Drosophila melanogaster: one gene and its partners. The gene in region 1 interacts genetically with each later gene. Each region holds a gene or a part of one and is shown on either strand. Other genes may lie near its edges. The genes, in order: dpn, eag and sisA.

The links.
Region 2: of dpn (region 1) and eag, changing one suppresses a phenotype caused by changing the other (phenotypic suppression), as found in Drosophila melanogaster (one study listed by BioGRID).
Region 3: of dpn (region 1) and sisA, changing one suppresses a phenotype caused by changing the other (phenotypic suppression), as found in Drosophila melanogaster (one study listed by BioGRID).

Annotation. Positions count from the first base shown.
Region 1 is NT_033778.4:8,228,282-8,233,989, forward strand, and holds dpn (deadpan), read right to left. Parts: upstream 4,050-5,708; 5' UTR 3,768-4,049; coding exon 3,642-3,767; intron 3,414-3,641; coding exon 3,318-3,413; intron 3,308-3,317; exon of another isoform or gene 2,823-3,307; intron 2,785-2,822; exon of another isoform or gene 2,222-2,784; coding exon 1,136-2,221; 3' UTR 690-1,135; downstream 1-689. Other genes in the region: CG34217 (uncharacterized protein), read right to left, coding at 1-334. UniProt on the Drosophila melanogaster protein: Transcriptional repressor of genes that require a bHLH protein for their transcription.
Region 2 is NC_004354.4:14,953,787-14,958,757, forward strand, and holds the start of eag (ether a go-go), read left to right. Parts: upstream 1-1,690; 5' UTR 1,691-1,763; intron 1,764-2,078; 5' UTR 2,079-2,343; intron 2,344-4,971. Other genes in the region: CG9030 (uncharacterized protein), read right to left, coding at 415-660, 762-935, 998-1,210. UniProt on the Drosophila melanogaster protein: Structural component of a potassium channel. Mediates the potassium permeability of membranes; potassium current is regulated by CaMKII and CASK. Has a role in growth of the perineurial glial layer of the larval peripheral nerve.
Region 3 is NC_004354.4:11,321,022-11,324,230, forward strand, and holds sisA (sisterless A), read right to left. Parts: upstream 1,337-3,209; 5' UTR 1,270-1,336; coding exon 700-1,269; 3' UTR 558-699; downstream 1-557. UniProt on the Drosophila melanogaster protein: Involved in sex determination and dosage compensation. Required for proper expression of Sxl in embryonic somatic cells. Also has an essential function in the yolk nuclei. Involved in endoderm migration and midgut formation.

The DNA of each region.
Region 1 (5,708 bases):
CCGCCTCGTACTTTATATAGTCCTTGAGACGATTCTGATTATAGAGCTCGTCCAGCAGATCGAACAACTCGATTTCGAGGGCTCGGAGTGGGGCTTCCAGTTCCGGGGTGTGGGTACCAGCGAACAAGGCCTGCATGTAGATGGTGGAGATCTTCTCCAGAGCGCCATCCAAGGTGTTCAGAATGGTGTCCTCGGGATCGTGTAGGAGCTTCACAGGACCCGTGAGCTTTGGAGAAGCACGGTAATGGTGCAGACCATCTTCAGAACTAGATGCCAAACTAATAGCTGGCAGGATCGCCACAGTTAGTAACACTTGAAACAGATTTCCTGGCATGGTAAAATTAAAATTTTTCAATTAAATTGTTTTTATAATTTCTGAGATTTTTCAATGCACGCCTGAAAGTCACTGCGCGCTCTTGATTGCAATAATTTAGTTTTTGACACACTAAATGTGTTCCGCCTATTGCTTATATAGCATGGATTGGGAGCTTTCGATTGAGTTATCTTTTCAATCAAACTTTGCGAAAACATCGAACATACATGATAAGGCTGTTTCCGTATTGATTTGAATTCAGCTTCCGACTTTTCAATGAGTTCAAGTACTATTGATTGTTGATGCGATCTTGAATTTTCCAATTCTAATCAGTTAAGAACCAAGGAACCATTAAATTTGGATGGATTTTTCTTTTGCAGCATTTTTTTTTTATTATCATTATTTTCACTCCATCGAATTTTGCATTACCTAAAAGTTAAAATTACAATCGTTAAATTAAAACACTAATATAGAAACGTGAATGACCTAATGATAAACGCTATACAATGAAAACTACATAACTTAAATAGAAACACGTTTAATTGTTTAAATACTTGAGCAGTTAATGAAACATTAAAGAACATAATTATTTAATGAACTACATAATAGTCGTATAAAGCGCTTAAACGAGAACTACACAAAAAATATACAAAATCACAGCTGAACTTAAAATGAAGAAAGCGAAACGGGGATACATAAAAACATATAGAAATCGTTGAAACTTAATGGGGTTCTAAAGCATTGAAGTGATCTTTGAAAAAATTGCAATGAAATAAATTAACAATGTATAAACGTAACATAGAAGTGGCCTGTGCGGTTGATCTACCACGGCCTCCAAGCGGAGCTCGACTTTTCGATGGCGCCAGCTAGGAATTTCTTGGACGAGGGCTCGTCCAGGGAGCAGTCGCTGGACTCGGCCTCCGCCTCCCTGTCGCGCTTGGCGATTCCGCTGGTGGAGCTCACTTGCTGTTGCTGCAAGTGGGCCAGCGGTCGCGAGCATCCGCTGCTGTCGTGGCTTCCGGCACTCAAGTTGAGGGATCCGCTGGTGTTGAAGGAGGTCTCCGCGCTGGTTGGTGGCGGAGTTGAGAAGACGCCGGCGAAACTGTGCTTGCTCATCACATCCACGGTGGGCGAGGCAGCCCGGGACTCCTCGCAGTGGCTGGAGATGGAGGAGATTGGGCTCAGCGGTGGGCTTGTGCTGTTCTTCACCGGCAGCTGCGTTTGGCCGGGCAGTGTGTGGATGAGGTTTTCCGGAAGATTGGCCGGAACTGAGGTATTGACCGGTTTGCTGAACGCGCTCATCCTGAAGCTCTGTGTATAGTCATTTAGATGTGTGGGATTGGCAATGCTGGCCAAGGCGGCACTGGCTGTTCCAGCTGCGACTCCCGCTGCAGATCCTGGCCAGGCAAAGGGTCCCGGAGGCGGAGCAGCGGAACCTGTGTTCGGCATGATGAGGGCAAACTCTCCCGAGGGCAGGCGGGAGGGAATTAGCTGAAGTCCACCCATTTGGATGGCCGGAGCCGATGACTCCGTGCGGCTGTTGTTGTTCAAGTCCTGCGGCAACGAGGGAAACAGCGGAGTGGGAGCAGCCGTGACAGCTGTGGCGGGAAACAAGCCACCACGGTATCCATTGCTGAAGTTGCTCATCGAACCGATCTGCTCCAGACTATTGGCACACTGGTTAAGATGGGCGCTGAGCCGCTGACGAACACCGGTATCGATGCCATCCATTTGGCTTACATAGCGGTTCACCTCCTCCGCGCACTCAACGAATCCCGTCTTGAACTTCTGGACAACGCTGGGATCCGATTGGATGGCCATGTTGAGCTGCTGGCGCTGCACCGACTGCAGATGCTTCACCGTCATCTCAAGTATGTCGGCCTTCTCCAGTTTGGTATGACGAGCCGGCTAAAAGTATAGAAGACGAAGGAACCAAAGTCAGATAATGATGAAATGGGGATGGGGTGGGAGATGGTCGGGCTAATTGTTTGGGGCCCTACAACAAGTTCAATAGCTTGGGAAAAAGCGAAGTTAAGAAGCACGTTTCGTGCCTCATATGTCCAACTATTCGCGTGTAATCTGCAGTCCACTTCAGTCGAGTCCACTCTGTAAATATCACACGACCAAGGTGAGATTCAGCAACTCCAGCGAGAAGAACGACTGATCTTGCTACTGTGCACTGAGCAAAAAGGGGGCTTAAAGTCAAATTTTCTGGCAAGTGAATACTAATGATGGAAAAGTGACTGTCTTTAGTAAGTGGTTCTAAAATAAACTACTCGCCGATCTTATCGTTTGTGATCTCATATGAAGACTTTTTGGGCACAGAAGATTCCAAATCGTTCTTCCTGATCTTCTTTTTTCGCGCAGTGCGATCTTCGCCAGTCTTCGGTCCCCGATTGTTCGTCCCTTTCTCGCCGCTGGGACTGCATATTTTAGCAAAAGGTTCCCACGCAGGTCGCTCGCCAGCCCCGCCCCCTCAACCTCCCCCGCTCCCCTGTCTGAACCTTTTGTTTACTTTTGCTTTTTTCCCTCAATGTCTTTCTTATTTGATTTTTGGTCCGGCTCTCCTGCAGAATTCTGCGGCGGCAAATTTTACTTGATTTCTGCTTTGTAGTTTCTCACAGCAGGATCACTCCTTGGAAACTGGTTTCGTTCGCATCTCCGGCGATTTCTGCGTAATTCCTCGACTTGTTAACACTTTTTGGTCTCTTGACTGACTCCTCGTCGGCGCTCTAGTGTAATGATCATCAATAAAATTTAATACTCAATTAGAGCCCTTGGTTTGTGTTTTTTTTTTCAGTTCTTGTGTCGTAGGAGTTCGTTTTTTATACATTTTTTTGTTCTTTTGTAGTTCTGCCGCCCTTCGGACACTTGTGCCTTAAAGGTTTTTTTTTGTGGACTAACATTATTTATAAGAAAGTGAACCAAAAGGGATCGGGGGCTAGTTTCTAATTCGCGGGCGGACCGCTCCTTTTCTGCTTTGACGCTCGGGCAAGATACTTACGTCTTTTTTCATCGCCTCCAGGATAAGGGACTTCAGTTCGTTGAGGCAGTGATTAATGCGAGCTCGGCGACGTTTCTCCATAATCGGTTTGTTGGTCTAGAAAAGAAAGGGAATCAATTAGTTTATTTCGTAGGAATTTATTTCAGTTTAAGGGATATCTTTGTTTATATAAAACAAGGGTTTCACTTGATTTTTAAAATTAATTTAATGCTTTACATTTTCTAAGCCATTAAAATGAAAAGGTTCAAAACGATCGAGGGTGCTAATAAACTCTGCTATTTTTTAGTTTGCGAGTCCAATTTCATCGCAAAAGAGCGAACTCACCTTTCTAAGTTCTGCTTTTGACAATCCATTGGGATTGGACATGCGTCCATTGGAGCCATAGCTGTCGCTATAGCCGTTGGAGCAGTCGAAATCGTCGTCGGAATTAATATCGTTTTTGTAATCCATTTTGTAACGATTTTAATTTGTATATCCAAGTGGGAGATAATCCAAGATAGTTCGATTTCGATTTGGTCTTTTTCACAACACAATAACTTTGGTTCGAGTACGAAAATAGTTATAACAATTATTGCACGTACTTCTTAGTAATGTCCGAACAACAAAAACTTAACAAGCGGTACGCGTTAAAGATCGTTCTGGTTATCGAATCGTATAGAATAGTATTTTAAATGTTCATTCAAAGGAGAGCGGCAGACGACCGCGCTCGCGAGATGCCAAAAGGATACTGATCCTCCGAGTCCACGGGCACCAGCTAAAAACGAATCGGGTCGAAGCCGAAACGAGTCCACGAGTGAAACCGAGGGACTCTCTTACCTGGCGACGCGGGCAGCGGCAGAGGCAGAGCTGAGGCAGGTAGGCAGCCCAACGATCGCCGTCCGCAGACTGAGAACTTTTCACCGCAGCAGCGCAGTTGCGCTCAATCGGAGAGTGAGTGAGTGCATAACCACCCCAAATCCAATGAGTTCACACTCGGAGTGAGATTTAAGTGAGTATTTGAGTAGGTATTCCCAGGCAGGCAGAGTTGCCGAGTCAACGAATTGCGGATTCCAGGGGATTAGTGAAAATAGGAGCTTAACTCAAGTAAACGAGACTAAGTCGAGCCTGATCGAGAAACAACACAACATTCGGTTAAGCCAAGTCATTAGCCTTTGGCTTGACGAAACCCACAAAATTTAGTTGATTTTATTGTAAAATACAGCAAGCATTGTATATTAAATAATTTTGAAGGAAATTAAGCATTAAAATCAATAACATATCATTAATGAATTTAAAGTTTATTACAATTTAACAAAAATTTATAACTGAATTTAATCTTCTAATTCGTGTCGAAGCCGACTTAATACCCAATCTATTTGTTTTAGAATATTCATATATTTAGCAATAATTATACAAAGCTACTATAAATCTTATGAATATTATTACTTTACTTTTTTTTACTTTTTACTTGCTTATTACTTTTAATGAATTGATTAAAGCAATAGTTAACAAAAATATGAACTATATTCAGAGAATTAACAGCGATTCTTCTTTAGTACTTGAAATTTGCTAAAGCAAAGCAAAAAATCTTTAGTTCCTTAAAAAATGTATCAAGTGAGATTTTCTATAAGTTATCAGTGAGTAGCATTATTTGCGACAGATGTTCCGTTTGTGTCCGTTTCCCTTTTGGGTGGCTGGCTGATGGCACATTTAGTCGCACAGATTTCACCCTTGGCAAGGACAAACTTGATCAATGCCCGGCGAATGATTTGCAATTCATTAAGGAGAACTCCTTGGCAATTGTTCGGCGCAGCTGCCGCAACCCCCGTGACAACCCAACCCCCTTGCAAGGCGAAATCCTTAGTTTCAAATTCTTCGCTTTTGCCTGGTCGGCTCATCGGCAGAAGCGTCTTAGGGGGTTGCTTGGGTTTCGGGACGGAATCGCGACTTGCAATGGATCGGAATCGGACCTGGATCGGTCGTGGGTCTGGGACTGAGGGTCGGGGTCAATCATTACGGAGCTTACCTGGCTGGGCCAATTTTTATAGTCGATCCCCGGCAGATTTTCCTTTTTCAGGCAAATTTATTACTTTACGATGTTGGCAGGATTACGACCAAAGGAGTTGTCAATAACCACTGACGCGGGCCATGCGCCAGCTGACAGCTGACGTAGATCTACCTATGGACCGATTTGGGGAGTTTTGGGTGGGATCGTAAACGTATTGCGCCGCCTGGCAACCCTGGTTGTGCAAAGTGATCCCTCGCGGCCTGAGCGTAAATCCCGTGTTGAGCAATAATCTGTGGCGATCATCCATCATGCACAAGCTCTGCAGCACTGATCCGATGTCAACTTTCGTAAATTGAATAAATGCCACGGCTACGATTGACCAACTAAAACATCCACAGCAACTA
Region 2 (4,971 bases), on another chromosome or scaffold:
TAGATAGAAAGTGACAGTATTACATTTTGTCATATTTCATGATTCCTAAAATCATGTTTAGTACCAATATTAATCATTACATATTATTAAATGGGTTTTTTAACCTCAAAAAGAAGCTTTCAATTCCTATTTAAAACAGATCTATTTATTAAGTTCCTCTAAGCCTAAGTTGTTCTTTAGGATAAAATGTGATCCATAAAGCTTAAAAACCAAAAGCTTTATAACAATTGAAGCGTTAATAACAATGTTGCACATGTGCGCTACCTGTTGGTCAATTGCCATTACTCGGCACAACATCCAGGTGGCGCTGTTTTTGTTAAATAATTAATTTTTTTTATTACATTTTGTTAATATGAGAAAAATACAGTACGACGTAAAATGTAGTTAAATATTATTTTCACTTATTTTGACAATTTATGGGGCATATCTTTCCATTGACCACCAAACAACATCCTGATAACCGTAAAATTCGATCAGTTGCCTGAGAGTCGACCGCACAGAAAGGACACAGTACAAGTTGATAACCGGGATCAAAGTCTTGAACAAGAAGCCGTTGCCTATAGTCCTGTTCACTAAGGCATCTGACAGCACCAATAATATATCGATGGATGTAATGGTGGCATAAATCACAAACCATGGACCAATGTAATGCGGCTTGAGCTGGATTCAAATAATGTTTACAATATATTAATGGAATTCAAAGAAGTTTTTGAATAGATATCGTTTTTTTTTTTTTTGTATATGATATTTTTAGTACTCACGGTGGCCAAGGCGTATAGCAGTATTGTCCACGCCGTTAACATTAAAATGCATCCGATGATACGAAAGCGGCGCAATTGCTTGTATTTGAAATTCTTTACCTTCCTTAGCCGATGCGACTTCTTCAGATGCGCCTTCTTGAACAAAATGCTTATGAATTCTAGACAATTGTGAGTCTGTGTTGAGATAGGTGTAATAAATGCACATCTGAAATATAAAGCAATTTGCATATACGCACCGATCCAATGATACTAATGCCCAGAGCATAGTAGAACATGAGGGGGAATATCTGCTCGGAGAACCAAAACAATCTGCCTGCACGCTGATTGTTCGCATCGAAATTAGGCGGGAACTTCCAGATGGAGTATGTTCTGCAGGTGGGTAAGGGTATATCCATATACCTGTGCGCAATGTAGCATAGCACATCACTGAGACACCTTTTGGTATACATGGCGAACTCAGCTAAAGTTTGTACAAATCAATTTTCAATCACAAAAGATGCCTGAAAAATGAGTACAAAATTTTGGTGCAAAGGGAAATGGACTGACTGACTGACTGAAGGGTGACGAATAAAAAATGGAAAAGATTAGATCATTAAAACGTGGCCAACTACTCTCTCTGACGACTATATCATTTTTCCAGTGAATGGAGCTCTTTAAATTCGCCCAGTTTATTTATTTGAAAATCGATAGGAATCGTGTTTCTTTGCCATTTAACCGTTTTTGCCATACGTGCTGATATATCGATACTAACGTGAGTAGCGCCACCTAGCGGGTGGGTAGAACGCTGCACACCATCGATGATTGTCAATGTGAAAGTAACGGTACAATCGGCAGCGACATCGATGTTTTCCCAGCTCTAGCAGCGCGCAACTCACTCGTAGTCGACTTTTAGGTGCGTAGTCGCGAAAAACTATGAAGACGCAACTCTCGCGTCGAGCGGTCCTCAGAATCCGGGATTCGTCCTCCAGTTCGAAAATCCAGCAAATAAATCCAGCATTTTGTGTGCGCCAATCGAATACGATTTTTTTTTATTTTTTTTTCGCCTGAAATATTTTGAAAATTACAACAGTGTAAACGGTGGGAGGGGGTGGTGGTGTGGCGAGAGGGGATTTATGGAAGGGGGAAGTGGGGGCGCCGCGCACGTGTCGACGTCGCAGTAGGCGTCGCAGTCGGCAATTGTTGCACGCTGCTGATCCTACGCGTTTCTCGTTTCATGTTCTTTCTTGTTTGTTGTGTGCTTCTTCGTGTCCCGTTAATTGTTGTTTCTTCTTCTTGTCCTCCTCCACCACCACCTTCACCTACGCTGCTCAACTGCAGTGCAAAGTGAAACGCGAAGAACGCGTTGCAGAATAATCACATCGCAAATACGGCGAAGGCAGGAAAAATTGAAAAGAATTGAAGAATCCAGCGAAAACCAGTGAAGAATCGGAATCAAAGAAAGTATCGGAATCAGCGGAATAACACTAAAAATAAACATACTTATATATATATTAAACATATATATACATATATGTATATATATTTAACCACCATTTAAAAGCAATCAAAAAGCAACTAAACAAACAACAAAAAGCAACAAAAGGTAATCACAAAAGGCTAGGACGAAATATTGTGTAATAAACTTGAATTTCTTTTACTTGCCGCAAAGAAATGGGGAAAAAAATAAAATGAAATAATATATAGAAAAGGAAGCTAGCGAAAGGGGAAGAGTGAGCGAGAAGGCGGCATAAACACACTTCTAATTGTAATTGTTGTCTTTTGTCGTTCTGCCGGCGTCGCTGTCGGCGCTAAAACTTTTTCCTGGCGGCGCAAAAGAGACAGCGCGAACGGCGAAGTTTTGCCCGAAAGAAAATGTAAGGAAAAGCAAAGAAAATTGAAATGAGCAGGGAGCCAGGAGTCGGAGTCGTGGAAAAATGGAACATAATAAGTTAAATTTGCGTGCTCTTGGTTTTCCGTCGATTCATGCTTCGTTTTTTCATTATTTATTTATTCAGTTTTGCGCTGGTTCCTTATTGTTTTCTTAATTTCTTGATGTTTTTCCAGCTATTTCCTACTCCCCGTCATTGAATGTGTGTCAGCCAACAGAAAATGAAATGCGCAATTATGTCAGCAAGCAAATAAAGCGAAAAAAGTTTTAGCAACTACATCAATTGCTTGTTTTTCAAGTGCAACCAACACACAAGCACTCACACACACGCACACACAACGCACTTTGCGGTTGCATAAGTGTCAAACGCAACACACGCTTACAGTTTGACAGTAATTGCGCTCAGAAGTTCAAAAGACAACAAAATACGTTTATTTTTGTGGGAAAATGAAGTCTGTATTATTTAATCAGTGCACTTATGCCCATGTGGCAACTTAATCTAGCTGCAGTGAGAAAAAGAAAACGGTCCTTGAGCAGAACACCAAATAAGTGTGCTATAAATATAGTTTTTACGAATTTCAGATATGCAGTGCGCCTATGCAATACGAATTTAACTTTGCTGCCAACTGAATTTGAAGGAGTATTTGTATTGTATTTCCGGTGCTCGCAGAGCAAAAGGGTATATTCGATTCGTATATGTTTAAGTGATAAAAGTTTCAATGTAAAGGTGAAAAAGAGTGCAAATGTGGGTGGCCTGCGTTAGTTGACATCCGTACAAGATTGATATTGATGCCCTTTACACCCACACAGGCGCAACATTACAAACGCTCCCAAACGCACACACTTACATATGTATACTCTCACAGACACACACATACTGTGAGTCACAGCAACAGGAAACGGGTGAAACTACTTAAATATTTAAAGCATTTGATGCCGAAAGGAGAGGGGGCGATAAACAGAGCGAGACGGAGAGGGGGAAAATTGAATGGGTCGGCCCACTTTTTGCGCCTGGAAGTATGCAAACAATGCCAAATGGCACCAGCACAGAAATGCCGAGTAAATCTTGAGAGCAAGTTTTCCGCCCGCCGAAGAAAACGCGAAAAACCCACAGCCAGGAGAAAATAAAAGAACAACCAAATTCACGAGAAGAGCCCAACAATTTTGTCACGCATGTGTGGCTACAAGTGTGTGTGTGTGTGTGTGTGCCTGAGCGTGCGTGTGTGTTTGTGGGCCAAATGAAAAGAGCCAAAACATTAAAAATGTACCAGCAACCACAACAACACAAATGACAAAAATAACAAGAATAACGGGAATAGCACAGGAAAAGTCCAAGCTGACGGGCGCCGCAATTTGCTGTCAACATAAAATAAATAAAATAAAATAAAAAGAACAAGAAGCAATACCCACACACACACACACGCACATATGTATATGGCCAGTGTGTATGTGTATATATCTTGTTTATAAATCTTTTGTACACTTTTGGCAGTTGACTTTTAGCGCCGACTGTTCCCATTTTCCCATGTTTTCGCATTTTCACGTTCTTTGTAATTTTCAATTTTACTTTGCGCATATTTAATAGCACAAATCGTAAATTAGATTCGCCACACATACATATAGTCCTATTTGTGCACTGAACGCAAAATATGCAGCCTTTAACGGAATAAAATTAAATATACATATATTCTAAGCGATTTATTTTGCAAACTCATTATGATCAATATTTAATTTACATACAATTTTCATACAATTCAGTTAAATATCGAAATTATCTAGAATCTCCAATTTCTATCAGTGTCTTTTCCCTAGCTCCCACTTTTATTACCCAAAAGTTAATGAAGTGTAAGTGTTGTGGAAGGGAAAGGCCCTAGGAATATCCTGCCTAATCAATCAAGCGGCACCAATAAGCCTTTAAACAGATTTGCAAATTTAAAGCATTACGTACTGTGCACGAGCATTTGAATGGTTTGCCAGCGGATTTCCATAGAATATGTTAAATGCCTAACTGCCACCCGTCACTTTTTATATTTTATTCTTTCCCTGACCCTCCGCAAGTGTTTAATGTTTGACATCCGCTGGCATCCGTGTTGCCTTGCCGTCGCTTCCGTTTCCGGATGCTGCTGCACTTCCCCTGCGCACCCTGCTCTTCAACTAACTGCATTATCGCTTATCTACACTGAGCGGAAATGCGGTAATTCATAAATGATTTGCTGCTTCGATTGGCTCATTTATTTTTCGAAGCAAATCATATTTCACCAATTACATCTATTCCAATTGCTTGTATATAGTTTTAGATATTATTTATGTTTTTTATTGAACAGTGTATAAAAATAAAGTTAA
Region 3 (3,209 bases), on another chromosome or scaffold:
AAAAAATATATGTAGTTATTAAAATTATATTGTATATATATATACATAGTATATACCCTTGGCAAGCATTTAGTAAAGCTTCCAAGTTCAGTTCGCAGTTCTTAAATGAAAACACCAACCAGAAAGTGGGGTGCTATTTGCAGTAGTAGCCCCACTAAATTTAGCCACAATCTCTTACAGAAACCTGCTCTTAAGGCCATTACTTCCATTGCATTTGCTGCTTTTGGCAACGCAAATTGTTCGCAAGCCAAAAAAAAAAAGGGAAAAAAAGAATGGAAAGGGGGAAAAACGTGAAACGGGGAAAGCGAAGTGCAATCATGTCGGATCAAATGAACTGAACTTAAGCAAGTCGAAATGGGTGCATTGCATTGGCCCAATTCCGATGGGATTACCTTCGGCCAGGCGAAGGAAACCCCAAGACTGCCGATGCGTTAAATGCAGAATAAATGCATCCAAATTATGGGAAATTCTTGTAAAGTGAAATTAACAAGTTATCCTTGACTCCATATGATCGTGTGAACCTATAACAAATATTTGAATAAGAAAGCATTCGTTTTCAATATGATTCTTAATTTTATTTAAAAATTTAATAATATGCTTAGATAAATACTAGATATAGTCAACAAAAAAAAAAAGTGGTATGGCTAATGCTGGACTAGTCAGGGATCCGTTCCTGCGACACATAGCTACACTATGATATCACTGCTCCATTTCCAGGCCGAAAGTGGCCCGCATCCGCTCGAGTGTGGCGGCGGGATATCCCCGCTCGAGCAGCTGCCTCTCCGCCTGGGCAATCACATCCCGCATCGTGTCCAACATGACGGCGCTCTTCTTCAGCTGCCCGCTGACGAATTTGTGCCGGAAGCGCAGCTTGGCCTTCTTGATCTTGTTGTTGTAGCGGGATTTGCGGCACGACTCGGCCCTCTGACGCTGGGCATCCTTGACATCCGAACCAGAACCGGAACCTGATCCGGAACCCGATCCGCGGCAATCCATAGCAAGCTCCGTTTTCAGCGGCGGCGGTGCACGGCGCTCCACAACAATGGGATTCTCCAGGAGCATCTGGTCTACGTAGCGTTGCTCCTCGTCGGCGTAGTGCATTTTGAGATGATGCAGCTGCTGGGACACCAGCTCCTCGATCTGCTCCGGCTTCGATGATGTTGACGATGCTGTCGATAGTGCGGGTGAACTGCTTCCGCGATACGGTGCGTATACGTGACCCATGGCCGCGTAGCTCAGAGTGGGCAAGTAAAGATGACTCCGTTCCATGGTGATTTTTTTCGATGTGTGACGTGGTCTGTGACTGCTCTCGTCGAGATTTCGTGTGCTAATGCTGCCTTAGGCAATATGTCAGCCCCGTTTTATACCATTTCCGCAGGTAGCTTGCCATTGGACACTGGATGGGTTATTCGCGGGTTCTACCTTCATGAATGGCGGTCACTGGGATTTATGATCTTGTTTTCCTCAATCTTGTCGCCTTGCTGGACACCGCCTACCTGCATCCGGATTGGCCAACGAATCGCAGATATGTAAACAAAGGGATTAGGGTAGCAGACGCACTGAGTCTACCTGATAATTGGTCAAATTTAAAAACAAAAGGATCAGGTGCGAACCAATATGTGGGTTTCTTCAATGGCTACCTACATACATATGTATGTCGGTATGCAAATACTCCCCATAATATAAAAGATATTCTAAGCCAAGAGATACGATTCAATGCAACTGATAAGGGCGTCATTAAATCCACAATAATCCCAAGGTCAAGCTGGGCTGTTCGTCTATCACCATCCATTTGCCGATTCGCGCCTTATCTAGCAGCCGAAATGAGTCAACAAATGTTGGGCTATGTGGAAAATCAACCTGCTTGGGCAAATACGAGCATGTCAAGCGGGTGGGATCAGGCGGCATTATGCGATAAGAGACACCAATATCGATTGCCATTGCTACCTGCTAAAGTTGCTATTTGTCCATTCCGGATCAACCCATCTGGAAGTGGGTTTCCCGCATCAGGTAGCCATTTCAAGGAGCCACTTTCGACGTGGTGGCAAACAAGTTGCGGCTTGTTGTCGTGGGATTAACCAGCCGAACCGACCGCATTTAGTCTATTAATTAATTTAACAGCCCTCGAAACGATGAGGGGTTCAGCGACCTGCTTAGCAGGCCTCAAAGGGTTAAACCAGAAATCCCTTTGGCTGAGAATAATATGTAATAGAGTTTGGTGGACCAAACTCAAAATCCATAAATAGTTGCTATCTCTGGCTGATGTAATGTAATATTTAACTAGCAATATTATAGAACAATATGACGCAAGCAGCAACTTATGCTAATTAAATAACCAATTAATTGTTGAACAAAAAGCAGTAAAATGTTATAACACTGCAAGTACCCAAAATATACTTTCCACTTGCTCCATTTTCATGTATTTCAATTTACAACGCTGCACATGTGTGCCACTCGAATTACATAACTGGCATAAATAACTCCGCTGGGTAATTGGCAAAACAATTGAGTATTTTTAGTGACCGAAAGCAGTTTTAATTCGAAATCCCCCATTTCAGCCAGATGGGGGCAAGCTGTCAGCGGCAGACGGGCAATAATTTTTCCATTTTTCGCATTTTACCATTTTCCATTCGGCATTAACCATTTGCCATGTGAACAATAAAATCGACAGCGCCGCGTTTGTTTGGCAAATGAGAAAATATGCAGACAAGTATAATTAAAAAACCATTTATAATCATTTTCGACCAAATCCCAATTGGCCACCCAAAACCAAACCAAACCCCGCAGGAACACTTGAAGCCTGACAGTTTTCAGCTTGAGAATAAGTTGGGAATGCCGATGGCCGGAATACTCTAGCTGAATTGGATGACTCAAGGAAATATGTATATACTCTTATTTCTATATACTCAAATGTTGAACTAGGGCTTCCATTTTCGGACAATAAAGAAACACTATACCCTTAGAAAGAGTACTGAAAATCGAGGAGCAAGGCGACGATAAATGGACGCACATGAAGGAGACTCCGCCACATCCCCGAAAACGACATTGAGTTTGAATTATGTCAGCGCAGCAATAAATTGTCCAAGGCATTAAATTAAAATATATGTATGTATAGTATATATCGTTTAAAGAAAAGCTGTGAAATCATTAGAAGGACGTACGTAAATTGCATATTTTACTACAGAAATTTTCACAACTCACATATTGAG